4 linked regions of the Caenorhabditis elegans genome follow. The protein of the gene in region 3 purifies or fractionates together with the protein of the main gene of each other region. This does not show direct contact. Each region holds a gene or a part of one and is shown on either strand. Other genes may lie near its edges.

Region 1 (6,490 bases), 9.6 Mb from region 3:
TAGATGACGGGACGCGATAAGGAGACGCAGACACAGTTTTGGGGGCAGACTGTTCGGGTAGGGGGAGGAGGAGGAGGAACGTGGGAAAATTGGCAGCGAGCCAAGGTTAGTTTGAGCCGTCATAACTCTGCGGTAAGTTGAGATATTAAAAAGTTGTCAACTAAGAAAATATAGAGAAAGTTGTGTAAATCATTTTGCCTGTTATTAATTTTTTGTTATATATTCGAGGCCGAACAAGGAGGCGAAGACGAGTAGTTTATTATTACATAACTAAGGAATAAATAGAAAGTTAGTATACATAGATAATGAGTTCACGTTACACGATCTTCATATCCACGTTAAGGGTTAGGTACACGTAGATACCCAACATCTCCCCTCTTCAATGACAAACGAGAGCTTTGGTGAGGAGCCATCCACGAATGTCTTCTGAGGTTCTCACGGACCACCCTCCAGTGTGACCGTCGATATTGCCAATCCTTTGCACACGGTACTTCGGTGTTCACATCCTCCAATTGCGGGTTCCAAGTTAGCCACACTTCCCGTACCAATCGAAATATTTTTGATGTCTATCCACCCTTCACCAACAGACTAAAAAAACGTTGCTGCCTGAATATTAGACCCAACCTTGAATCATCCACACTGATTCCGCCTGTTCCACCATCAACCTGTTGTATCCCAGTTCCTGGTTGTGGATCATGTTATGACCAATAACAATTTGTGCAATCGTCCAATGACTGAGCATTTGAAACGCATAGGTGGCCTTCACTCGCATCTTCAAAAGAGTTGAGCAATGATTCCTTCTTCTTTTCGACTTCAAACCAGAAGCCGCTCCTGTCCACCTTGACTGCAACTGCAGAGAGCACGGCAGGTGCCTCTTCCCAAAGCTGACCTGATCCACCTCAGAGGTCTTTTCTTCCCAGTAGACATGTGTAGATCAAAACAATACCTCAGAGGTCTTTTCTTCTAAGTAGACATGTGCATGAAGTCAGTGGTGCAGTGAGCCCGAAAGATCCTGATCGCCAATGTTATATATTCGAGGCCGAACAAGGAGGCGAAGACGAGTAGTTTATTATTACATAACTAAGGAATAAATAGAAAGTTAGTATACATAGATAATGAGTTCACGTTACACGATCTTCATATCCACGTTAAGGGTAAGGTACACGTAGATACCCAACATTTTTTATTAGCTTTGATGCTTTTGGAGATATTTAAGTTTTAAAATTGATAAAAATCAGGTAACCTGTCCCTACTTAGAGCTATCATAACTATGCTCAAAGTTGAGCTACAAAAAATTTGTAAATTAACAACTTATAGAACAATTTGCGTAGATTATTTTGTTAATTGACAATCTTTTGCTAACTTTTGTAGATTTACAGATATTCAGATTTTAAAATATACCACCTTCGTTGAGCCGGTAACTAGCAAAATATAGAAAAATTTAGGAACATTTTTAGTACCAAAAAAACATTTTATTAAAATCCACGCAACAAATTTCAGATTATCAAAAACACGACAACAAGACATAATTGAAAAAAAAAATTAGCAAATTGAAAAATCAGTCCTCCAATGGTAAAGCGCTTCCAATTGGCATCACTTCGAAGACCAGGCACCAACTGACATGTGGCATAAACTCCAAAGGGTCCAAGTTTTCAGTTCTCTTCTTACCGTAGACATTAAGCTCGGATTCATAGGTCAGCGGGATGTTGAAGCAGTGAGGGAATTCGGTGCAGCTGGAAAAAAAGGAAAATTTGGGAAGAGTCCAACTTTGGAAGTTTATAAACTAGTATGTACATTAGATAATTTTAGAATATTTAATAAAAAATTATAGTGAAAGTAATATTTATTATTTTGCCAGTAAACAATTTTCCATCAAGATATAAGCCTCCATAGTTGAGGTGTAATGCTAAACTTCAAAAAAAAATTTTTGCATAAAATCGAACCTGCGCGCCGCAGAACAGGTTCTGCCACAGAAAAATTTGAAATTGTAAGTCAGAATTTTTGCAACGCATTTGCAACACGAAAGTTTTTGTAAAAGTTGTTAGAAATTTGAGTTTTAGTTTTTGGATAATTTTGCAAAAAAAAAACAACTAATTTCGAAAGAGCATAACTCAAAAACCCAACTACTTTCATAAAATTGCTCAACTGCAAAACCGTTGCAAATAATAGCATCTACAATCTTGTAGTTGACAACTTTCCACTAGCTCTACCAGGAGAAAAGTTACAGCGGCCGACACTTCACGGGCTTTTGAAAAGTTCGAAAAAGCACAAGTGAGGTAGTTTGTATCTATTTAAAGAGCCTCAAACTCAAATTTCGATGTATTACATATCAGTGCAATGTTCAAATAAAAACTAAATGAAGATTTTTTGTCGACTTTTCCCTAAAAACATGGTGCATCGGAGCTCCAAATTTCCAGCTGGTGCATCGATGCATCCTGAATTTTGCGAACTTACTCTACTCCCTCCATCCTCTTGCTCACAACCATCGGATGATCCCCGAGCAAGTTCAATGTGGATTGGGTGGCGTGATACTGCTTAACACCAAACGTAAAGCAGGTCCCAATACTCTTCGGTGTCTCGATCCAATTATCAATCAGCTGCACATAGTCATGATGGAACAGTGGACTATGAAGCATGTAGACATTCTTCTGTGGAAGCTTCAGTAGGAAAGGGATCCAGGCAAAGTTCTCCCCAAACATTTTCTCAGTTCCGATAACCAGACGCTGGGTGGCATGGATAACTGGGTGGTCGTGCTCTAGAGGCATATGCAAGCTCTTGAAAGGCAGAGTGCTCTCGTGGAAAATACTGTTCAGACCATCCCAAAGCAGTCCGAACTCCGTACCAAATCTCATATTGGAAACTTTCACTTTAAAATTCTCGGGGAGTCGGTAGACCCCACCTGCATCACCAAGCTCCAGGGTCTTTATCACAATTGGGTGAGCTCTTTTTCCGAACAACTTCTCTGTGATATACTTCATCGCATCATACATTTTCTTGTTATAATCCAGATACTCAATGATCCCATGGAAAGTCTCCCTGTCCCGCCTGAAGTCTAAGTTCATCCTTTGGAATCTGATGCCAAATCTGTATGGAGCTGGTTCATTTTCCTCTCGCCAGCTGTATGGATTCGTGTATGCTTCGAGTTGGTCGGTGACTGCTGGATCTATGTCTGGCTCGTCTTCGGATTCAGATGCTTCGGATTCTGAAGATGAATAGCGTGCTCTTGGGAGGTAAGCGTCGCCGAGGATACGCCGGATCTGAGCTTCCTGGGGGTCATCGTCTTCATCATCTGATCCTTCTGCTGGAAGATCTTCTGCTTCATCCTCATCATCTTCGGAAGAGCTTTCAGGGTCTGAAAAATATATTTTTGAGATTTTCCGAAACAAAAATTGGCCGCCGAAACACTTTAAGCTATCATATTTCAGCTAGAAATCAAGCTATCACAAATTTGTCAACTGAGATAGTGCTCTAAATTTTCTTAAACAGCAGCCGACATATCACTGGACTCCTTATCACCTACCTTCCCTCTGCTGCACCTGCATCCGCCCCTGTGGTCTTATAAAATCCCGCATTGCAAATTGCAACATCTCCATTGTCATATCCTCCATATTATTAATTTTTTCCTTGCTTTCAACTTTCAAATCTCCAGGGCTCAAAACCTCATTGCAGCGGGGATCCTTAAGCCCATACTGATCCATATCATAGGCAGCACCTCCATCTAAGTTCACATTGTTGATATATGGACTATAGTAGACATGGTCTTTCGGTAGGTGGCGGAGCAGTCCTAACGTGTACCTATGTCGGTTGATTCGGATGACACGGGGATTCATGTAGAGCTTGTAGATGTGGAGGGGAGCAGCTTTGTCGGCTGCTTTTAGGGAGTCACATCGTTCCACTAATTTAAATCTGGAATATTTTAAGTAGGTTGATAGGTGTTTAAAAGTAAAAATAATATTGGTAGCTGCCCCACTTCTAGGAACGGCTCAAAATTTGAGCAAAACATGGTTCATCGACAGAAAATTGCTTAAGTTATTATACTTCTACCGAAGCCCGTTTTAATAAATTTTTACACAAAGAAAATTGAATTTTGAGCTGTTAAAGTTGAGGAAAACATGATGCATCGACTGTAAATTTATCAACTTTTGCTCTGAAAAAGTAACCTACTAAAATATATTCCAAACTCTTTTTAAACTTTAATAGCTTTTCAAAAACTTTTTTCAGCTCTACAATCAGAATTCCAAAAAAAAATAAAAGCATACCTCCTATTAGCTTCAAAGAACTGTAGTACACATTTCTGGCACTCATATGGGAGTGGTGTTAAGCTCATATGTAGGTATTTATTACCTGTAAAAAAGTGGGAAATTGGTGCGAAAAGTGAGAAAAACGTTGAAAGAAACGAGAAAATTGTGAAAAACTGACAAAAAATGACTATGATCTAGTAAACAAATTTCCAAAAAGTAGTAAAGCTGCATTCGAAAGTAGTAAAATATTGCCAGAGTGTAGCCAAAAATAGCAAAATTTCAACGAAAATATAAAAAAATAGTCGAAAAATAGCTAGAAATAGTCCAAAAATTGTCAGAAATCGGACAAAACAGCCAAAAAATAGTTCAAAACTTGTGGAAAATACCCAATAATTGTCCGTCTTCCCCCTATTACATACCCCCGTTGGAGAGGCAATAGGGACCATTAGACTACCCTAAATAACTAGGTGACCTCTGTCCATCTGTCGCAGACGGGGCGGGAATGTTTATCTCTGTTGACCTTGAGCATCGGTCCTCTATAGAGAGCCTACACGTACCCGGACTACTTGATGTGAATGGAGAATTAGAATAAAAGAGATTCTATAGATTTTTTTTGTGAAAAATTAGTTCAAAAGCTCATAACTCCGCTGAAAATTGAGCTATTGAAAAGTTGTCAACTACAAAAATATTTCAAATTAATTTTCAAACATTTTGTTGGTGGAAAACTTTTTGCTAGCTCAACTTTCAGCTGAGTTATGATATTTTTAAGTTGGTATTTGAAAAATTTTCATGTGAAAAATCAATTGAGGCTTCTATTTGACAAACTATTTTAGGGTAGAGGGGGGCAAGAATCATGCTGGTTTGGACCAAATCTGACCTTGATACTAATATGTTGTTTACAACATTTGCCGTGTTTGCAAAAAAAAAACAGGCAGAAAATTAACTTTACGCTGGAAAATTGGTAGATATTGGGTCGCCAAAAATGCGAAAAAAAGAATGAAAATTGATCTTCAGTGCCCTTTTATTCGGGTTTATCATGGTGCATTAGCACAGGCTTCCATTTCAAAATTGGCCACATCCATTGAGATGTCGGATGCTGACTTTAATATCAACTTTGTTTGCAGCCGACACTTTCCCGGTTCCTTTCAAAATGTCGAAACAGTAGAAGACATCTCACAAGATTTTTCAAGCTTGTATTAACAAAAAATCAACCAAGAACCGCAGCCGACATTTCCGGGCTTTCAAGTGTTCCTATATTAAATCCGTAAATTGCACACTTGACAGAAATAAAAAATAAGGGCACGTTTTCGACATGAGGTGTCCCGAGAAATGTGACTGCACTTTGAGAACTTATATCTTAGCTTAGGATTGGCGTTTTTTTTTGAGCAATTTGTTTCAATAGCTCCAATCATATTGAGGACCGCACTTTTTGAACATTATGGCCACTTTTAACCTCAGCAGGACAGGCCAAATGCTATTTCATTTCACTCAAATCCAAAAATCAGGGATAAGGGCTGCCTGCTTACTCTTAGAAACTTTAGGCTTTTTCTATCCCTACTTCCAGCAGAGCAGGCTGGAGGACTTTTATGAGACTACGTCTGTATTTGAAAAGATCAGTTAATTCGGATTGAGGGCTGCAGGCCCAAATACACATAGAAGTATTGGACAATCTTTAAGCCTACTCTGAGCCCAATAATCCAGGTTGAGGGCCGCAGGCCCGAATACACGGATAGAAAAGACCCAGAAATAATATTATCTCAAATGACCATGGCTCAATCAGTTTTCATTCAAAATGATCAAAATTTTCCCGAGTTTTCCAACTTAAACTACTGCGAAGCCTAGCGCGCTTGACGCGCTAGTCAACAGCGTGGAAAATGCGTCTATCGGTCATTGAGACATGGAACTAGTACGGAAATTCAAAAAAAAATTAATTAAAAATTTAAAAGAACACGTTTCCACGTTTTAACAGTATAAAAGAGAGAAATATTCGAATATTTGATCTATTACTCAACATTATGAACGGCTACAAGTCCCTCCTTGTGTTGGTCACCGTCTTTGTTGTCGCACATGCCTATCAAACAGGGTATTACCCTTTGAAGCGTTTGGTTTCCGATGGTCCCTGGCAACCCGTCTCATTGTGCCCTTCTGAAAAAGTTTTTGGGATTCAAATCAAGTACAACGTCAATACGAGCGACGTTCCAACAGGGATCGCCATTGTGTGCGATCGTAGTAAGCATTTATTTACTGTT
Region 2 (5,609 bases), on a different chromosome or scaffold from region 3:
TTACGTAGAAATAAAAAATAATATTTTTTTTTCTTCATTTCTCACTTTCAAAAAGTGCGCTTATAAATTTTTAGAGTTTCCCCAAAATTAGACTCTTCCTAGTTCAGACCCACATTTTTTGCCAAATTCGAGAATTTACTGTAGCTACAGAAATATCTGCCACACACAGTTTCTAGAACGTTTTGTAAAATTTATATAAAGTTCAGAAAAATTCGATAAACTTGGGAAAAATTCAAGGTATAATTTTAAAACATTTGGAAAATTTCTATATTCAAAAATCTTCTAGAAACTTTAAGAAACTTCAAGGAATTTTTGAAAAATTATAGAAACTTTTGGAATACACTCGAAAATCTTCTGGAAAAATAAAGTTTTGAAACTTAAAAATTTTTAAAAATTTGAGCCTGAAAAAAAGTAAGAATTATTACACGGGCACGGGTGGCTGAGTGGTAGTAGCACTGTCATCCAAAAAATCGCAAGTTCAATTCCACCTCAACCCAAAGGCTCACCCATCCGGCTAGGAAATTTACCAGATGAACACACTATGAAATATTTGGAAAAATGTTTTAGTCTATGTACAATGCCATAAAGATTGGAGATGACGAAATTCAAGCCATAATGATGGTAGATAGTTGCTACATAAGCAAACTTGGTACATATTTAATACATACCATTTCTTTGACCATACGCGATAACATCTGGAGATGAACTGGGGATGCCAACTGGCAAGCACAACACGACTTGCACAAGAGGAAGAGGTGAATATAGCGATGCTGTAAAAATTATGGTCCTCGATAAGAAGACGGCGTTTACAAAGAGAGTGACGCCAAGGAGGTGAACGTGTGGAAAGACGCACACCATATAACTGTCTCCTTTCCGCCTACCTCTTCTGCGAGAGTGACCCATCCGAGCACCTAAACAATTTCTGTCATTCATTCTATCTTGATTCATTTTTTGAAAAAAAATATAGAAAAACCAATTAGTTTGGCCTTTAAACGCAAAAATTTCAAAAATGACGTCACAGATTTGCGCGGGATTTTTTTTGAAAAAATCATAAAAAGTTTAGAAAATTAAAATGTTTTTAAATTCGGTATATTGGGACTGTATTCTGTCATTTAGGGCAAAAAAACCCACAGACGCTACTCCACCATTAAAAATTCCTTTAAAAAATTCAGAACTCTTCCCAAAAATTAGAAAAAATTTTGTTAAGAATTCTACAAATATTTTCAAATTTTCTGAAATTTTACACCTTTTCTTGACTTGACTATTATTATTGAAAATTCCTGGGCCTGCTTAAACTTTCATCAAGTTTCTCTAAATTAGTATTAACATTTCTCTAATCATTGACAATTTCCTGAAAGGTTTTTTGATTCTATAAAACATACCGCAATGCTTTTGAGATTTTTGTAATATCATCGAATAATTTTCAAATATTCCCTGAAATTTTTTGAAATGAATTGGAAATTGCGTTTTTGAAATTTTCTCAAATGGCTCTGAAATGCTTTCTGAACTTTTTTGAAATTGATTGGAAATGGCTGAATTTTTTGGAATTCTCTGAGATTTTAGCAAAATAAGCAAATTTATATCCAAAATTTTTTTTCTAGAAACATGTAGCAAATATGATATTTTTTGAACACATAAAAGCATTGGAAAAAGTAAAAAAATCAAAAATTATGAAAGAGTTGGGGTTTGATGAACTGACTCCACTTGAACTGTTGATGAAACAAGATTTGTGTTGCGAGCGTCGATGTAATCCAAATCTGGGCAGTCAATTGATAGGGGTGTTCTGGAAACAAAAAATGGATTCTGGAAGTTTGAAATTTGAAATTTAGAGCTGGAAATCGGAATTTACGTTAAAATTATCCCTAGACCACACTCGGCATCAAACGATATTGTCCATAAAATTTCAAAAAAAGTTTGTTTGAAATAATAAATTTTGACAAAAAAATCAATGTGATTTTGGATCCTAGGTTGCTACATAGTTTCTACAATCCCCCCTAACTATAATTTTCAAAATTTTCAGTGCAAAATGTCGTAAAATCAGGTGTCCCGGGTTACTACTGTACTTGATTTCCTAGAGTTTTGAACAAAGTTTTTGGAACTTAAGAGTTATATGTATTTTGCCACGCGGAGTTCGAATTTCTACTAAAATTTTGAGTATTCGAATTTTTTATAGTTTTCAGAAGTAAAAAATTATAAATTTCAATTCAAAAATACTCTACTGTAGTTTTGTGTCCGGGTTACTGTAGTTTGGTATTTCCCTACCAGACACCAAATTTCAAGTGGGTTTGCACTAAAATTCAGAAATTTTGGGAATAGGTGCAGTTTGTCACGTGGAATCAAAATTTCAAATCAGAATCCAAATATTTTGAAGTTGTCATACTTTTCAACTCTCAAAAGTTTTGAATATATTTTTAAAACTGAAAATTTTGAATTCAGCGCCCATAGATTGCCCTATAAACATAGCTTAAACACCAAAAAAAAAGTATGACCACAGTGCGGACTCGAACCCCGGTCTTCTGATTGGTGGTAATGGAAAATCCTACTGAGACATTTGGGCGAAATTTTGAAAAATTCTGAATTTGTGTAATTTTGGGTCTTTAATGCTATGGGAAAAATATTTCCAAAAAAGGAATTTTCAGTCTTTCAATCTCAATAACTTTTAACTTTGAGTTGAAATTCAATATACTCATTCTAAATCAGGGGTGCAAATTCGGCAAACCGGCAATTTTCCGGTTTGCCGATTTGCGGTCATATTAGGTATTAATATATTTAATTCTATGGGTAAAATATTTCTGAAAATTGAAATTTCAGCTTTTCACTCTTAATCATTTTTAAAATTGAGGCGAAATTCAAAATCCTCACTCTAAATTACCCCTATTCCCCAATTTTAAGGTTTTGGTCTTTTTTTTAATTTCGTGAAATCTAGTATTCTGGATTACTGTAGCTTGATATTTGAGTGCCATACATCAGATTTGACGAGATTTTGCACAAAATAAATTTTCAATTTTCGGTCTAATTTTAGCAATAAAAACTCACTTGTCTCTATGCTGAGTAACCATAACCTGTGGAATATTGCTCAATTTTCTTCGTTTTTCCTTTCGTCTGCAGCAACCACAACTCATTGTGCAGTACATCAAAATTAAGGCGATTAAGGCGAAAAATACGACTGTGGCCGAGAAAATAATGAGCACAAGGTTGAATTCGTCCACGTCCAGCCCATATTCTGGGTACATTGCTTGTGCTGGACTATAAAAAGGTTTTGTGGGCGAATTTGTGAAGAAAATTTTAAAAAGTAGAATAATTGGGATTTAATAGTAAGTTTAAAGAAATACAAAAAAAATTGTGAAAATTTCGATTTTTTTTCAATTTTTATCAACAAAAAAAAAGACTAAAATTAAAGCGTTCAATATTAGTTACAAAAAAAGTTAAAGCATACAAAATCACGAAAAATTCCAAGAATAATGTCTGTGACAATTTCCGGCATTTTCGAAATTTCGCTCAAATGGCTCAGTGGGATTTTCCAGAACTACAAAGCAGAAGACCGGGGTTCGAGTCCACACGGTGGTCGATTTTTTTTTCGTTGCTTGTTAGGTAATAAAAAGTGCTGAATCTGAATTTTAAAGGTTTAAAGCTCAAAAATTGTTAGAAATTGGGATTTCAGACATAGATAATAGCTTAAGTCTGAATCTTGTTAAAATTCGAAATTGTAGGTTTTTTTGCAATTTTTTTAAAATGAAATTTTTACCAAAAAGATTTTGAGCATGCAAAAAAAAATTGAAACTCAAATTTCAAAACTCTGGGAAAAATTGAAACAGCGGAAAAACCCCAAATTTCAAAAAAAATTTCACAAAAAAACGAAGAAAAGTTCCTCCAGTTTAACCTAATAAGATATTTCACCAAAAATGAGTTTGTTCTTCGCTCTTTTTTCGTTTTCTTCTTCCCCATCCAAAAATTTCACCAAAAAAAGAGTGCAAGTCAAAAATGTCATTCAAAGTTGTTTGCAAGAAGCAATTCCCATGAGGTTCAACTAAAAATGTACCGGATTTTACTTGGAACGCACTTGAAAGAAAAATAAAATCGGAAAAAATCAATATTTTTCAATAAAAATAAGTAATTTGGAAAATCTGACAAGCTCAAAGAGCTCAAAACTTGATGAAAATACTTCAAATTTCAAAAATTTGAATTGTATCGTCAAATTAGTCGGATGGCCCAATTTTCAAACGTTAGTGCAAAATTCTGTCAAAATCGGTGTTGGGTACGCAAACACCAAGCTACAGTAACCCAAGAAAATAGATTTGACCACATTTTCCATAGTAATCTTGAAATACTGCGGGCAGGGGTAATTTAGGGCAAGGGTGGGCGGCAAACGATTCCGGCAAATCGGCAAACTGCTGGAATTGCCGATTTGTCGAATTTGCCAGAAAAACGGGGAATGCCGGAAATTTTCTGCAAATTGTGGTTTTGCACATTTTTTTTGGGAATTTCAGATTTTTAATTATAATCGGGAAAAAATTAAAAAGGGCACAGGTTTAAGTGTTTTCGTCTTTTGAAAAAAAAATCCTCTAAACATTCCCCGCAAATCTGATATCCGGCAAACGACAAATTGGCAATTTGCCGGAATTGAAAACTTCCGACAAATCGGCAAACCGGAAAATTGCCGGTTTGCCGAATTCGCACCCCTGATTTAGCATGAGTATATTGAATTTCGACTCAAAGCTAAAAGTTATTGAGATTGAAAGGCTGAAATTTCCTTTTTTTGAAATGTTTTTTCCAATAGAATCAAAGGCCCAAAATTACACAAATTCAGCATTTTTCAAAATTTTGCCCGAATGGCTCAGTAGGATTTTCCACAACCACCAATCAAAAGACCGGGGTTCAAGTCCGCACTGTGGTCAAAGTTTTTTCTTGGTTTTTAAGCTACGTTCATAGGGCATAGGGTAATTGATGGGTCTAAATTCAAAATTTCAAGTTTCAAAGTTCAAAAATGACTTTAAAGTTCGATCTTGACCTCTTAAAATTTAGAAAAAAAAACAGTGGAAGAAAAGAATGGGGAAGAACATTTTGAAATTCTCAGATTACCGCAAACCTTTTTGCCGTCTCTCTGCGTGTGTGTGTATGCCGGCGGTAAGAGGTAAAAATGATCAGCACAAAAAGAGCAAACATTCTCGGGTTCTTCTTGTGCTCCGAGCCTCTTCCCACAACTTTTCCTATTTCTCTATCTCTGTAGTAAAGGTATCACACGGCAGATAGTGTGACAGATTGAGAGATCAAAAACTGGGCAACAGTTGGCTCCGGCTCGGTGAGAAAATCGAGAGAAAATCAGGAGAGATGTCGGCACCCACCTCGAATTTTTAATCACTTTTTTAGTGGTTTTACACATTGCAAAAGACGTGGAAAACTATGGGAAAATAAAAAGTTTTGATGCAAACTCGAACCCCGGTCTTGTGATAGGAAGTTTTGGAAAATCCCACTGAGCCATTCGAATAAAGATTTTCAAAAGTGATGAAAAACGATTTTTAATTGCTTGTAAGCTCAAAAAATTTTAGAATTTAAACTCAGCATCTCGCAATTACTTTACTAACCATTTCAAAACAATGAAAAAAAAGTTT
Region 3 (5,300 bases):
TACGAAGATAGATATTCCCGAAGCCATTTTGAATGATAGAGATGATATATTGGACCGAGAAGATGATCACAATGAAGATCAAGTTTCTATTTATGAGTGAGTTTTTAAATTAATTCTTGCATGCTATATTTTTGTTTCAAAAGTTGCTTCTCAAATAACTCATAAATTATATCTCTCATATACAAAAAAATTGGACTCCGTATTAAAATTAAAGTACGGTTCTCAAAATATTTTAATTAATATATTTTTCAAATTACTTGATGAACTCACTTCCCAGTTGTCAATTCAATCGTCATCTCTTTCCTTAACAACCTTGTCGATAATACCAACCCTCCTCTGGAACAAAAGACCATGTACCAGTTTCGCATTGTAAAAGGTGCAAGGTATCCCCCACCTATATCTACTTGTATCTCATAGTGGGAAGAAGGTCGAACGCTGGTTAATAACCAAATGGGGCGTGGTCTACCGGACCGTATATATATGAACAACCGGAAGAATAAGAATCATTCATTCTGGAAATCTTCCAGTTGTTAGCTACCTAACTCTTTCTTTCCCCTACTTTCAATTCTTGCTTTCAAAATGGAGTACTCTTACATTCCATCCGCAGCTCTTTACAACAATGCTGATATTTTCCAATTCTTCCCTCGGAACAAGCGTCTCAATTCTCATCAAAAGTCTCGCCTTGATGAGCATGCTCGGAAAATGGCTGCTTTCATGATGGAGAGACAAGAAGAATACCGCTACTACGAGAACTTGGCCAATCAGGAACAGTTCTCCGATGACAATGGAATGGAATCAGGATTCTGCAGTGGAGCCACTTCAACTGGACAATCAGCTTCAACATCTCCTGCTCCAGTTCAGCTCATTCCAAACCCATTCTTTGATCCAGAATATGTTGCTGCCAAAACTCAGTCTCCAGTGAAGCTCGTCACCAACCCATTCTTCAATCCAGAGCTTGTCGAGGAAATCAAGAAGAAGTCCCAGAAGAGAAACGAGAAGTCTGCTCCTGTTTCTGCCTAGTTAAAATTAATTTTCTGTTTATTTTTTTTGTACCTTTGTATCGTTTTGGCTTTCGTACTGGTTCCAATTTTCGTGTACCCCTTGAAATTTTTTTCCGGTTTTCCTATTTCTACTTCTTTTTTGTTCTTTTTTTCTTGGATTTTTCTAATATCAATAAAGTAATATTTTTTAAATGAGTTTTTCCAACATACCTAGCTTTCATAGCGTTTAAGATAAATTCAAAGTTAACAATCAATTTCAGATTCTCCCGAGTCTCTGATCCAAATTCTGAGCATTCTTCATCAAACTCCATCAGTGATAGCTTCTATTTGAACAATTTTGATGTGATATCTTCAGCAGCTAGTGAGTATTACACAGTCCCCCTCAACAAAATTAAACAAAACTTTAAGATTCTCAAATCTTCGAAGCGAGTATATGCGGGGAATCTGATGTGGCATCGAAATTTCAGCTTCACAGGTAAATTGAGTTTTGTATTGATTCTTAGTTTTTTAATATAAAACTGAAAGTTATCAGAAAAATTTTTATTTCTCATCGGAAGATGCTTGCTTACTTTTAAATCAAATCAGAATGTATATTCAGAATCGAAGAAGAGTCCGAAAACGGCGATGAGCAAAGTTGTGCGGGAGCCCATGATCCACTGATCAACAGTATGACCCATAGTCCTTCTCAATTTTTTCCACGGAGTATCTCACAACAATTTGATATGATGAGACTACAATAAATGTGTTTTGTATTATTATAATTCTGCTTTGAAACGGGAACTAATAATATTGATTTATCAAATATATACGAGAAGTGTTATTGTGTGGTTCCATTCTTTATTCAAAATCACTCGTACTGGTGTGGATAAATATCAAATCATTGCTTTATAATTATTGTTCAACTGTTATGCTTTTGAATTAAAAAGAAACAAAATATGAAATTCCAATATATTTATTTCAAAGCCTTATATTAGAATTTCAATTATGATAATATCTTTTGTACACATTCAAACTTCATTTTTTCTTCAAATCTTTCACTGTTCCCATCATGCTCTTGTTCTTCTTGTTAGTGCTTCTGGCAACAGTCGTCGTCTTGCCCTTTTTTTGCTGTCTCTTGCTGTCTCGCGTCATCCATTCCTTTATAACGCCACTTCTAACGGCTGTCAGGGCGCTAATAACCACAAGACCCTGAAAATTAGAAATAATTTTCAGTAAAGGCTCAAAAATAAAACGAACCTGTTTGAAGTGGCGATTATGAAAATGTCGACCAGCTCGGACGTACTCCTTCAGATTGTCCAATTCACGGCACTGTAAAAATTGCACTTATACAAAAATTTTCCTTTCTAAATTTTCCAACAATATCTTGGGGATTCTTTCTACATGCCCATGAAAAGCTTTTAAAGTTGCAACAATTTTACAAAAGTAGTTGTGGAAGTTAACTTGCCCACGGGTTTTGTTTGACACTTGGATCCCGTTGCAGTACGTGATTTTTTTTTCAATTTCAGAAAATATGTCGTGACACTAAATTACAAAACAGCACGTATTGTTGCGATTTCCAGATTTCAAATTGCGATAGACCAAGTCGTCAAGCTTTGCCAAAAAAATAACAAAACTCCCTTCTAAATTCACCTGTTCATCTAATGTATGCACTGCCTTATGGTATTTTGTGCATTGATCTCGAAGGTCTGGAAGAATCTGTGTCTTTTCCACTTTCTTTCTTCTACGATTGCACGTCTTCACAGTTTTCTCCACATCACTGTACATCTTCTTGATCTTATCACAATAAAATACTGTCGTTGTGTAGATGTTTGAGTCATGGTCCACATTTTTGATATCATCTGTAAAAAGTTTCAATAGAATAGGAGAAATAATTTTGTTTTCCTACAGAAATGTTGCTCCTCCTTGTGGCCCATTTTTTCACACAATTCCGCAATCATATTGGCTTCCGCCTCGTTCTTCTTGATGAACTCGACCTTCTTCAAGTATGCCGGCATGTATCTCCAACCGCTGTTGGGAACCTCCGTTTTATCAGAGAAGTGATAACTTGTTCCCGACTGAAAATTCATGCATTAACACGTGTACTATTTGAGTTGGCTCCGCTATTCAAAATCTTACAATGCACATTTTCTCAAGCCCGACGGTGACGCCTTGCATGACATCAAGGTACTTGATAATCCACTCAATATCACTGGAGAACTGTTCGTTCAGGTTAAATTGATCCTTGTTAAGAATTTTACCGACGAAGTTCGCGTCCTCTATCTCTGAGCTTTCTCTATAATATCTCAGATTGCGAAGAATAAAATTCTTATGAACTTACGGATTATTAGACTTTGGGTTCTCTTCAGCAAGATTAGATGGGCTCACAGGAGTGCTGGTCGGCAAATTTGACATTTTTGAAAACTGATTGAGTATTGATTTGGAATACGAGATTGAGTATTTCCACGTTTGTCTTCGAAAAAATAAGTTTTCACGAATAAAAATTAATAATCTATTTTATTTGTTTTTTGTAACTAATTTTTCTAGCATTAATGCCAATTGGCGAAAAATATTTCCGAATTCGCTGGTCCAATGATCCTATTCTCCAAAAGCAACATCTTTGCTCAGTTTTACTGTTGTTGACCCCATAAATTAGCTATTTTCCCAGATATGCCGGAAATTGTGTTCATTTCTAATAACCTTGTTTGCCAATGTTATCGTCACCCCGTCTGGAAAAATACCATCGTAAAAGGTGCAAGGCATCCCCCACCTATAATTCCTTGTGTCTCATAGTGGGAAGAAGGTCGGCCCCGCTGGATAATAACCAAATGGGGCGTGGTCTACCGGACCGTATATATAAGGACAACCGGAAAGAAATAGTATCATTCATTCTGGAAATCTTCCAGTTGTTAGCTACCCAGCTCTTTCTTACCGTCTACCCTTTCTCTCAATTCTCACTGTCAAAATGGAGTACTCTCAAATTCCATCCTTCGCATTCTACAACAATGCTTCCATCTTTCAATTCTTCCCTCGAAACAAGCGTCTCAACACTCATCAGAAATCTTGCCTTGATGAGCATGCTCGAAAAATGGCTGTTTTCATGATGGAGAGGCAAGAAGAGTACCGTTACTACGAGAACTTGGCCAATCAGGAACAATTCTCCGATGATGCCTGCTTCAGTGACACTGGAATGGACTCCGGATTCTGCAGTGGAGCCACTTCAACTGGACAATCAGCTTCAACTTCTCCTGCTCCAGCCCATCTCATCCCAAATCCATTTTTTGATCCAGAATATGTTGCCAAGGCTCAATCTCCAGTGAAACTCGTTGCCAATCCATTCTACAATCCAGAACTTGTCAAGGAAATCAAGAAGAAATCCCGTGTTTCAGTTTAATATTATTAATTATTTTTATTTATTTTTCCTCAAACAGTTTAGTCGGTTTTTCTGATATCCAGGTTCGGTTTTTATAATTGTACTTTTTCTTGGAAATGATTACAAAATTTCTGTCCGGTATTTTTTCTGTATTGGTTTTCTCAATTTTTAACAACTGTACTTTTACTCAATTGTTTTAATAAATTAATCAGACTAATTAAAAGTTGTTTTTCACTTCAAACGACCACGCTTTCAATACTAATTGAATACAATACATTTCTGAATAAAATTTTTTTGCTAGTTCCACCATCGAAAATTCCAATTACTCCAATTACTTTAAGCTAGTATTTTGTAGCACATTCGTTTTTTTCAAAATTTTCAGATGATTGATTGATTTATTTAACATAACTAATGCAATTTACAACTGTACAATTGAATTTTGAGTGTTAAATAAAACGGTAAAACGAGACTAACCCAGAAAGAGTACGTCTCGAGTTTGGGACGGGAAAGGAGAGAGAGGGTAATGTGGTAGAAGAGATCAGTTAGAAGTCAAAGAGAACCAGCGGATAAAAGTTAATACCGGGGAATATTGAGATCGAGAAAACTTGAAAACTGATAGGGGGAGAGAAATACCGGTATATTTTTGACAAGATTGTTCCAAATAGGAATGGATTTGGCAAAGAAATGAGAGGTGCATGTGTCTTTCCTAACCAGAATCATGGGTCTCCTATTGGAATTAGAGAACTTGACAAACTGAGTTAATTTAGAGAAATGAGTAGAACCGGTAAGAAGTCTATATAATAGTTTCATTTGAGCTTTAATTCTAGTGTGTCTGGTGGAGAATAGTTCCATGATGCACAGTCTGTTTTCGTAAGAGGTGAATTTAACGTTGCACCTTTGCAGGACGCGGTTGGTGAAGGTCCTAAGCGGTTTTTCAAGTATGGCAGAGA
Region 4 (7,220 bases), on a different chromosome or scaffold from region 3:
ATCACTCGTAATGGTCTCGTTAAAATGAAAGATTCCGTACTTTTACTTGCTTCCTTCGAAAAAACGATGGATCACTTGTTTGAAGCTGCATTTTTCTCTCAACGTGACGTGGTAAGTAAATTTTATAGTTTCCTATTAAAGTTTATAAATCGAAAAAATAAAAACCCAAATATTTTCGATTTTTTTTAATTTGTTTTAATTGTAGAAAATTTATTGAACTTTTTTTAGATTCATGGAGTTTCGGAGTGTATTATTATGGGAACCCCAATGACTGTCGGAACCGGTACATTCAAATTGATGCAGAAATACGACAAGAAAGCCGTTCTTAAACAGAATTCGCCGATTTTCGAACGTCTGAACGTCACTCTTTAATTTGTTCGATTTAATACTTTTTCTTTACCACCCAGACTTTTACTCATTTTTGTTATTTAGATACCTTTCTTTATATTTAACTTTTTTGTTTCAACCCGTTCGCTTTTTTGTTATTATTTTTGTTGTTGTTGAAAGAACATAAGTTTATTGATTTCATAGAATTCGTTATCACAGTTTAACGAAATGGGCGCAAAGAAGTTGTAGTGCCAGGACGACTTCTCGATCGTTTTGCAATGGATTTAGCAGATTGAGACCGTGCGCGAAGACTGAAACATAAGGTTAATGATTTTAAACTTGTATGTAGGCAGAAAAATCAGCTTTTGAAATTGACAGGAAACGAACTCCACGGCTAATTGAATAAGCTCTACCTACGAACGTTTCGACTTATAAATCATTAACAACGGAAAACATTACAAAAAAAGACGACAAATATTTAGGCGAAATTAATCAAAAACGTTTGAATTTTTGGGTTTGCCGCCAAATACCTAACGAGACCCATTATCCAAAAGCGGAGCTTTCAATTAGCCGTGAAGCGCGTTTGCAATTTGATTTCAAAAGAGGCATTAATAACAAAACTAACCGATTTCCATTCGACGATCTCACGAATTGCCTTGGAATCAAATTACTCGGTGGAAGCCATGGAATCGGCGGAGCTTCAATAAGCACAAAATCGGCAATAAACTCTCGTTCCGATTCTTTCAATTCAATCCATGTTTCGTATGCTTCATTAGCCAACGACAATCTTGTCATTTTTTCAGATTCTTCCAATTGTTTTTGAACTTGTTCCTTTTTCAACTTTTCAGCTTCTTCATTCAATAGTTCTTCCTTTTTCCGTTTCCTGGAAAAATATTTCGGTTTCAAATTTTTAACAAAGCTTGGCTTCTCGTGGCTTTGTATTATTACTCATATTCGAAAATTTGCGATTTTTGCCCCAAGAAACAATACCTGGTCTTGAAACGACTGCTTTTCTCAAATGCAAAAGAGTGTGCGCCTTTAAAAAGTACTGTAGTTGACAACTTCTCGTTGTTGAGAAATTTACAGTGATTTTTTTATACTTGTTCTTCGGTTTCTTCAAAACTCTTTGAAAAATGGTAAATATATTAAAATACATAAAATACTGAAGAAACGGGAGAATAAAACTACAGTACTCCTAAATTACACACGCTCTGTTTAATTCAAGAGAACAAATCGTTTAGAGACCTGGTACCGTACTTTTGGAGCAAAAATCGATAAATTTTTCATCTGTGCATAATATGATCCACAAAGAATATAGAAGGATATCACAAAAATTGTTCAGAATATGCAGATTATATGCGAGAAAAAACTCCAAAAAATCCAAGATATCGGTGGAGCCTTCTTTGAGATTTCAGCGAACAATCACTAATTGTAGAATTAATATTGTAAAAAACCATATCATATTCTTCGGAGCACAAACGAAAAGTCACTTGTAGTTTATCAATCCGTAAAACTAACCATGCTAGAAAAGCTGCCTGTGCTTCTTTGATCTTTTCATTTTTAGCTTCTTCCTCTTTCTTTCTTTTCTTGTCTTCTTCTTGCTCCAGTTTCTTTCTGATATCTGTTACAGATTTCGAACGTTCCCGCTTCCACATTTCATAATTCTAAATTTCAATTATTTATTAGATTTATTTAAAATGTTGAGTACCTTTTCAGCTTCTTTCAGTTTCTGATCTTGCGTTGTTTTCTCATTTTCAGATTTTTTCCTTTCTTGTTGAGTTTTCTTCGATTTTAATTCCTTCGCTTTTTTATCATGATCCTGAACCCATCTTTGATACAACTTTGCAGAGTTTTCACGACGTTCTTTCTGAAACAAAGTTGGTTACAATTCCGTTTAAAAATATTAAAACTACGGTACCTCCGTTGCAGCTTTCTGCTCTGCTGCAGCTTTCTCTTTTGCCTTTTTCTCCCGAATTTCTCTTTCCTTCTTCTGAAGCCATTCCTTGTGATGAGCATCAGAAGGTTTATTTAACTTGGACCCGCTGGAAAATCAAAATTGGCAGCTTCCCCTCATGTAATTAAAATTTAAGAAAATAGCTTACAACATAGACATTTGCATCATCTCTTGATCTTTGTCTTTGATTGTTTTTGTAGACAAATTTGCTGAGGTCTGAGGGCGAGGTCGAGGTTTTGGTTTCGGAGCATCAATAGAAATCGAAGCTTTCAGTGTTTTCTTAACTCCACTTGCAGGCCTTTTAGTTGTCTTCTTAGATTCAGATTGTTCCAATTCTTTATCCACTCTGAAGGTTAGACTCGGATCTTCATGATCTGTACTTGTACCCAATGAATTTTCCGACAAGTCTCTATGAAACTCGGTGATCTCTACAGCATGCGTTGAAAGTTCTTCTGGCGATTCTTCTACGTGAATTTCGAGACAAGGACGAGACTCTCTGAAGTAAACTCCAAATTAAAAATATTCAATGTTTCTAAGAACTTACCGTCTCGGAGAATCAAAATGAATTGGAACAGATGTAGTTGGTGTAGATGTTGCATCCATTGTAGAAATCAATGAGCGACGCCTGATATCATTTCTGAAAAATTATGATTGCTGAAAAATACTTAAAGGTGAGAATAGCTCACAATTTCTTTATAAAATCATCATCTGAATTTCGTCTAGCAGCAGTTGATGACGTAGCAGATGAAGAAGATGTTAGAAAGCTCAATGTTGATCCATTTCCATTCTCCAGTTGAATCGGATCCTGAAAATTATTCCAATTATCACAGTTTAATTGTTACTGAAATCTGGCATTGGACTGAAATTTTTTGAAATTCCTAGAGATTTTTCTTTTTTCGTTAGCTAGGTTTTCTACACTAGAACTAACAATTTTTTAAGTTATTGGAATTCTTTGTAACAGGTATTGGCAAAATCATAAGACGAATCCACTTTTTATGGCAAAAACGGATGTAGACAATCATTTTTGTGACCTTACTTTGAAAGTGCAAAATATTGCACTTTGAACTGCCATTTCAGACACGTTTTGTGAGCACACATTTATCACCTTGATAGTATGATTTTGGTTTTTCTAGGGCTTACATAGTAGACACTTGCCTGCCTAATCCCTGCCTACCTATATGCCTACCGCCTATTTCAAGCACGTAGAAAAAAGGATTTAGTTTTTCCGAATAGTGAAATTTTTTTTAAAATAATTTTAATGTCAAACATACTTTATTTTCTTCATTGCTTCCCGATGATTCTCTACCATGTCTTGTTGGTGGCCGGATCGGAGAGTTCAATGCATTCTTTTCAGCTCCACTTGAGCCACTTGATGTTGTGGTTGTTTCTGATTTTCTACTGATTCCCAGAATCTCATCAAGGGTCTGATTGACACTCAAATTACGAGATTGGTGTAATTGATATTCGCCCATTTCACTGGAACATGTTGGAATCTATGCACATATGTATTACATTCGGAAAAAAACAGAGAAAAAGAAAACTAGAAGAAGTAGAAGAAGATAGGTCGAGATGGAATAGAAGAAGATTACAATTTCTGAAAAACAAAACCCACGGGACGTCTTTTTGTTTGTGTGCAACCTCCTGATATTGTCTGAAAATCTTGAATATCTTATTAGTCGCTCTTCCCAGCAACTAAACAAGAAGACCTTCGTTTTTGTCTTCTTTCTCTAAACCTCTTATAATCCTCCATTTCTATCTTATTCCTCAAAGAGACATTTCGCACTAGTAAATGCTTTCGGTTGCCATTGGATACCATATGACAATATCTCTGCGGTCTCTACGTTTTATTTAATATCTCGATATGCACTAATTGGCTGTTTCCGAAATAGAAGTAAAGGGATAGAGAGAATGAGAGGAAAAGAAGGTTATTACCAAGGGAACAGGTGAAGCATATGTAAAAGTATACGTATCAAATAATTAGAGAAACTACTGATATCGGAAAATGCGCAACTCTCAAGCATAAATAAACGGATAGGGCCGAAAGGGGAAAAAGTGTGAGAAGCACAAATAAAATAAGAATAGGAAATATTAAATAAATTTCTGAAAAACAACAATAAAAGAAATATAATTTCTAAATGAAAACCGGATAAAAAGCACACTATCCGCAGAGTGAAATCACAGATGTTATTCCTCATATCGTGAGGAAACTATGATACTTTGATCATGATGATGATATATAAAATATGATATTTTGTTTCATTTCCTTAGATCACTGGATGATATCTGAGAATGTAAATGGTTGAAAAATGCGATTATTTTATTTTAACTGTAGGAATTTATTCTATAAACAGTGAATGGGCAAAAAAAACACCAAAAAATTTATTGGTAAATACAAAATCAAGTAGTTCTAATTCAAAATTGATCCTTGAATGGTGGGCACGCCTGTTAGTTGGGGACAATTCCTACAGCTGCCTTCTTTTCTTTGTCTTTCTTCAAGTCCGGACGCATCACAGTGAAGGAACACACCTGTAATGAATAGTTGTAAACAATTTTTTAAAGTTCGTTAAAGTAACTAACCAATTCTTCATCCACAGTCATAACTGCCGCAGCGTTGTCCATTTGTCCACAGTATGATGGCGCCGAGAAGATGGTGACGAGTTGCCGATCAGCAAAAAATTCGTAGCCATCCATGACGACTTGATGGGCACGAACGACAAGTTCGAGATGATGGGTGTTCAGGAATTTCTTGACTGCTTCTGCTCCAAAGACACGACCGGCTCCACGTTGCGACTCGGCGTACATTTGAATGGTGGCATCCGGATCAGCCCATGTCAGGTCAGCAATGACGCCAATATCGGGAACATCGCAGGGACGTTCGACTTTGTCAAGTTGTCTGTAACCAAAATAATGAGCATAAACCTTGATTGCCGAAATTTCAAACCTCAAATCCACCAAATCCTCGGAAATTCCGCCATGCATACAGATGATCTTGTCGCTGACTACTGCACAAAGTGGCATGCAGTAGAATGCCAGTTGGAACGCATCGTAGAGAGCATTTGAAAATCTTTTACGGCATTCCATAAAGAATCCGTATTGCATGTTAACCGGGCGACTCTCATGATTTCCTCGGAGCAAGAAAACTTTGTCCGGGTGGAGGACTTGATAGGCGAAGAGCAATGAGATGACCTCGATCGAAAACGGTCCTCGATCAACGTAGTCTCCCAGAAAGAGATACTTGGTCTCTGGAGGCCATCCATTCAATTCCAACAGGGCCAATAAATCCTCGTACTGCCCATGAAGATCTCCGCATATCTTGACAGGAGCCTTCAGCTAAAGAAAATTAATTTTTTAAAAGAATTTTGCAGTCTGTACACACCTCTAACTTCACATTGTTCTTCCAGAAGACTTCACGAGCACGATAACAAAGCTGGATGAGCTCCTTCTCATCGAATAGCTTCTGGCAATGTCCTGGAGTCCATCCTTTCAGTCGCTCAACAAGATTTTGCAACCATGCAACAACTTTTAACTGAAAATAACAATTATTTTGAAAGTCAAAGAAAGTTCGAAAACTCATTTTAGAAAAAGTCAAATCACGTACCTTTTGACGATCCTGTCCCGCCATTTTCGCAGCCGAAGTATCGGGAGTTGCCATCGTTAAAAAGATTCAAACTGAATTTATATTCCGATCAATCTTGATAAATGTCATTGGACGCGTGGAATGTCATACGGTTAGATTTTGGTTAGATTTCGAAGGCAAACATGAAGTTCACGTAATTTATAACTAAATCTTTTACTCAACATTGTTTTTATGTTTAAAATGTTATTATAATATGACCATTCCATTGCTAAAAAATATTATTTAATGTCTAAATTTCAATTTTTGCAATTTTTTAAAAACACTTATGCAAATATAATTACTTTCTCTCCTGCTATAAAATTAGCCAAAAAACGTCTGGCAAGTAAAAATACTGACTAATTAGATTTAAAAACGGCAAAATTTTGTTAGTTGAAAATATTTTTCCGTAAAAGCGAGAGCGAATAGAATATTGGCACAGTATATACCAAATTTGGGTTACACTTTCCCGGTTTTCAAAAAATGGTCGAAATATAAACATTGCGGGTGGTCGTTTTTGTAATTTTCCCGGTTCTCAAATAAAAACTACAAACTTTCAAAAAATCATTCCCCTTTCAACTTTATTTATACACACAATACATAATTTTCAGAGAAGTTTTCATAATCACAAATCTTATTGTGATAATTCTTCTATTCAGCAGCTGACAGCTTGATGATCGTCTCTCCACAGCACTCTCCAGTTGGCAGTCCATTGGCAAATACAGCCTTGGCAAATACAGCCATCACGGCAAGTCTGCTCAACGGCAGCGAATTGGATAACAAGCTTGTCGGCCTGCGGCTTTCCTGGCTGAAAAAAATGTTTAATTTTTAGGCCAGGCGACAACTACTACATACCTTTCTAGTGATGATCAGATCAGCGGTATACCCAATCTGAATAAGTCCAAAGATAGTGTTGACACTGTAGTTGGAGTTATTGGAAGATTTTATCTGAAAATTCAATTGACTTAATAAAATGTGGATTCCATACCTTATAGGCCAACATTTTGTCGCAGTGATTAATGATCTTGTGCGTAGAAACACCACCATTGGCTTGGATTGGGCAGACTGGCGGATCCAACGATAACTCGACTCCCATTTCGATGTAATTTTCTCGAACTGATTCAAATTTCGATTAATTTTATTTTTTCCGACAGAGAGGGAGGGGGGGGGGGGGATTTTTTATAAACGTGAGGTTTGCACTTGCGAAATTGAAAATTTAAAACAAATTTCTTTTAAATTTCTGCGTAAATCCAAAAATTTTAAAGCAACTTTAAATACTGTTTACTTCTCAAATTTTGAAGATCAGCTTGTGCTCGGTTCGGCGGA

Evidence for each region.
Region 1: the proteins of ZK673.6 (region 3) and fbxc-51 fractionate together in Caenorhabditis elegans (co-fractionation; one large-scale study listed by BioGRID). This does not show direct contact.
Region 2: the proteins of ZK673.6 (region 3) and F48F5.6 fractionate together in Caenorhabditis elegans (co-fractionation; one large-scale study listed by BioGRID). This does not show direct contact.
Region 4: the proteins of ZK673.6 (region 3) and maph-9 fractionate together in Caenorhabditis elegans (co-fractionation; one large-scale study listed by BioGRID). This does not show direct contact.

What each region holds. Positions count from the first base shown.
Region 1 is NC_003280.10:866,668-873,157, reverse strand, and holds fbxc-51 (F-box C protein), read right to left. Parts: upstream 4,345-6,490; 5' UTR 4,328-4,344; coding exon 4,260-4,327; intron 3,907-4,259; coding exon 3,521-3,906; intron 3,353-3,520; coding exon 2,455-3,352; intron 1,734-2,454; coding exon 1,559-1,733; 3' UTR 1,459-1,558; downstream 1-1,458. Other genes in the region: Y46B2A.3 (Fibrinogen C-terminal domain-containing protein), read left to right, coding at 6,257-6,470.
Region 2 is NC_003283.11:20,446,714-20,452,322, forward strand, and holds F48F5.6 (uncharacterized protein), read right to left. Parts: upstream 3,247-5,609; 5' UTR 3,234-3,246; coding exon 3,037-3,233; intron 1,784-3,036; coding exon 1,669-1,783; 3' UTR 1,562-1,668; downstream 1-1,561.
Region 3 is NC_003280.10:10,460,928-10,466,227, forward strand, and holds ZK673.6 (uncharacterized protein), read right to left. Parts: upstream 3,404-5,300; 5' UTR 3,393-3,403; coding exon 3,319-3,392; intron 3,274-3,318; coding exon 3,117-3,273; intron 3,056-3,116; coding exon 2,887-3,055; intron 2,840-2,886; coding exon 2,631-2,839; intron 2,310-2,630; coding exon 2,238-2,309; intron 2,190-2,237; coding exon 2,016-2,189; 3' UTR 1,940-2,015; downstream 1-1,939. Other genes in the region: ZK673.11 (Protein aurora borealis), read left to right, coding at 1-96, 1,262-1,362, 1,410-1,476, 1,600-1,741; ZK673.5 (uncharacterized protein), read left to right, coding at 580-1,020; sdz-37 (SKN-1 Dependent Zygotic transcript), read left to right, coding at 3,943-4,371.
Region 4 is NC_003282.8:7,153,437-7,160,656, reverse strand, and holds maph-9 (Protein maph-9), read right to left. Parts: upstream 4,030-7,220; 5' UTR 3,894-4,029; intron 3,758-3,893; 5' UTR 3,754-3,757; coding exon 3,553-3,753; intron 3,087-3,552; coding exon 2,968-3,086; intron 2,919-2,967; coding exon 2,826-2,918; intron 2,778-2,825; coding exon 2,430-2,777; intron 2,370-2,429; coding exon 2,246-2,369; intron 2,195-2,245; coding exon 2,036-2,194; intron 1,992-2,035; coding exon 1,846-1,991; intron 1,211-1,845; coding exon 953-1,210; intron 639-952; coding exon 548-638; 3' UTR 501-547; downstream 1-500. Other genes in the region: rpc-1 (DNA-directed RNA polymerase subunit), read left to right, coding at 1-111, 229-372; C34D4.2 (Serine/threonine-protein phosphatase), read right to left, coding at 4,727-4,807, 4,859-5,174, 5,223-5,611, 5,658-5,807, 5,880-5,933; C34D4.3 (MSP domain-containing protein), read right to left, coding at 6,550-6,702, 6,750-6,842, 6,883-6,990.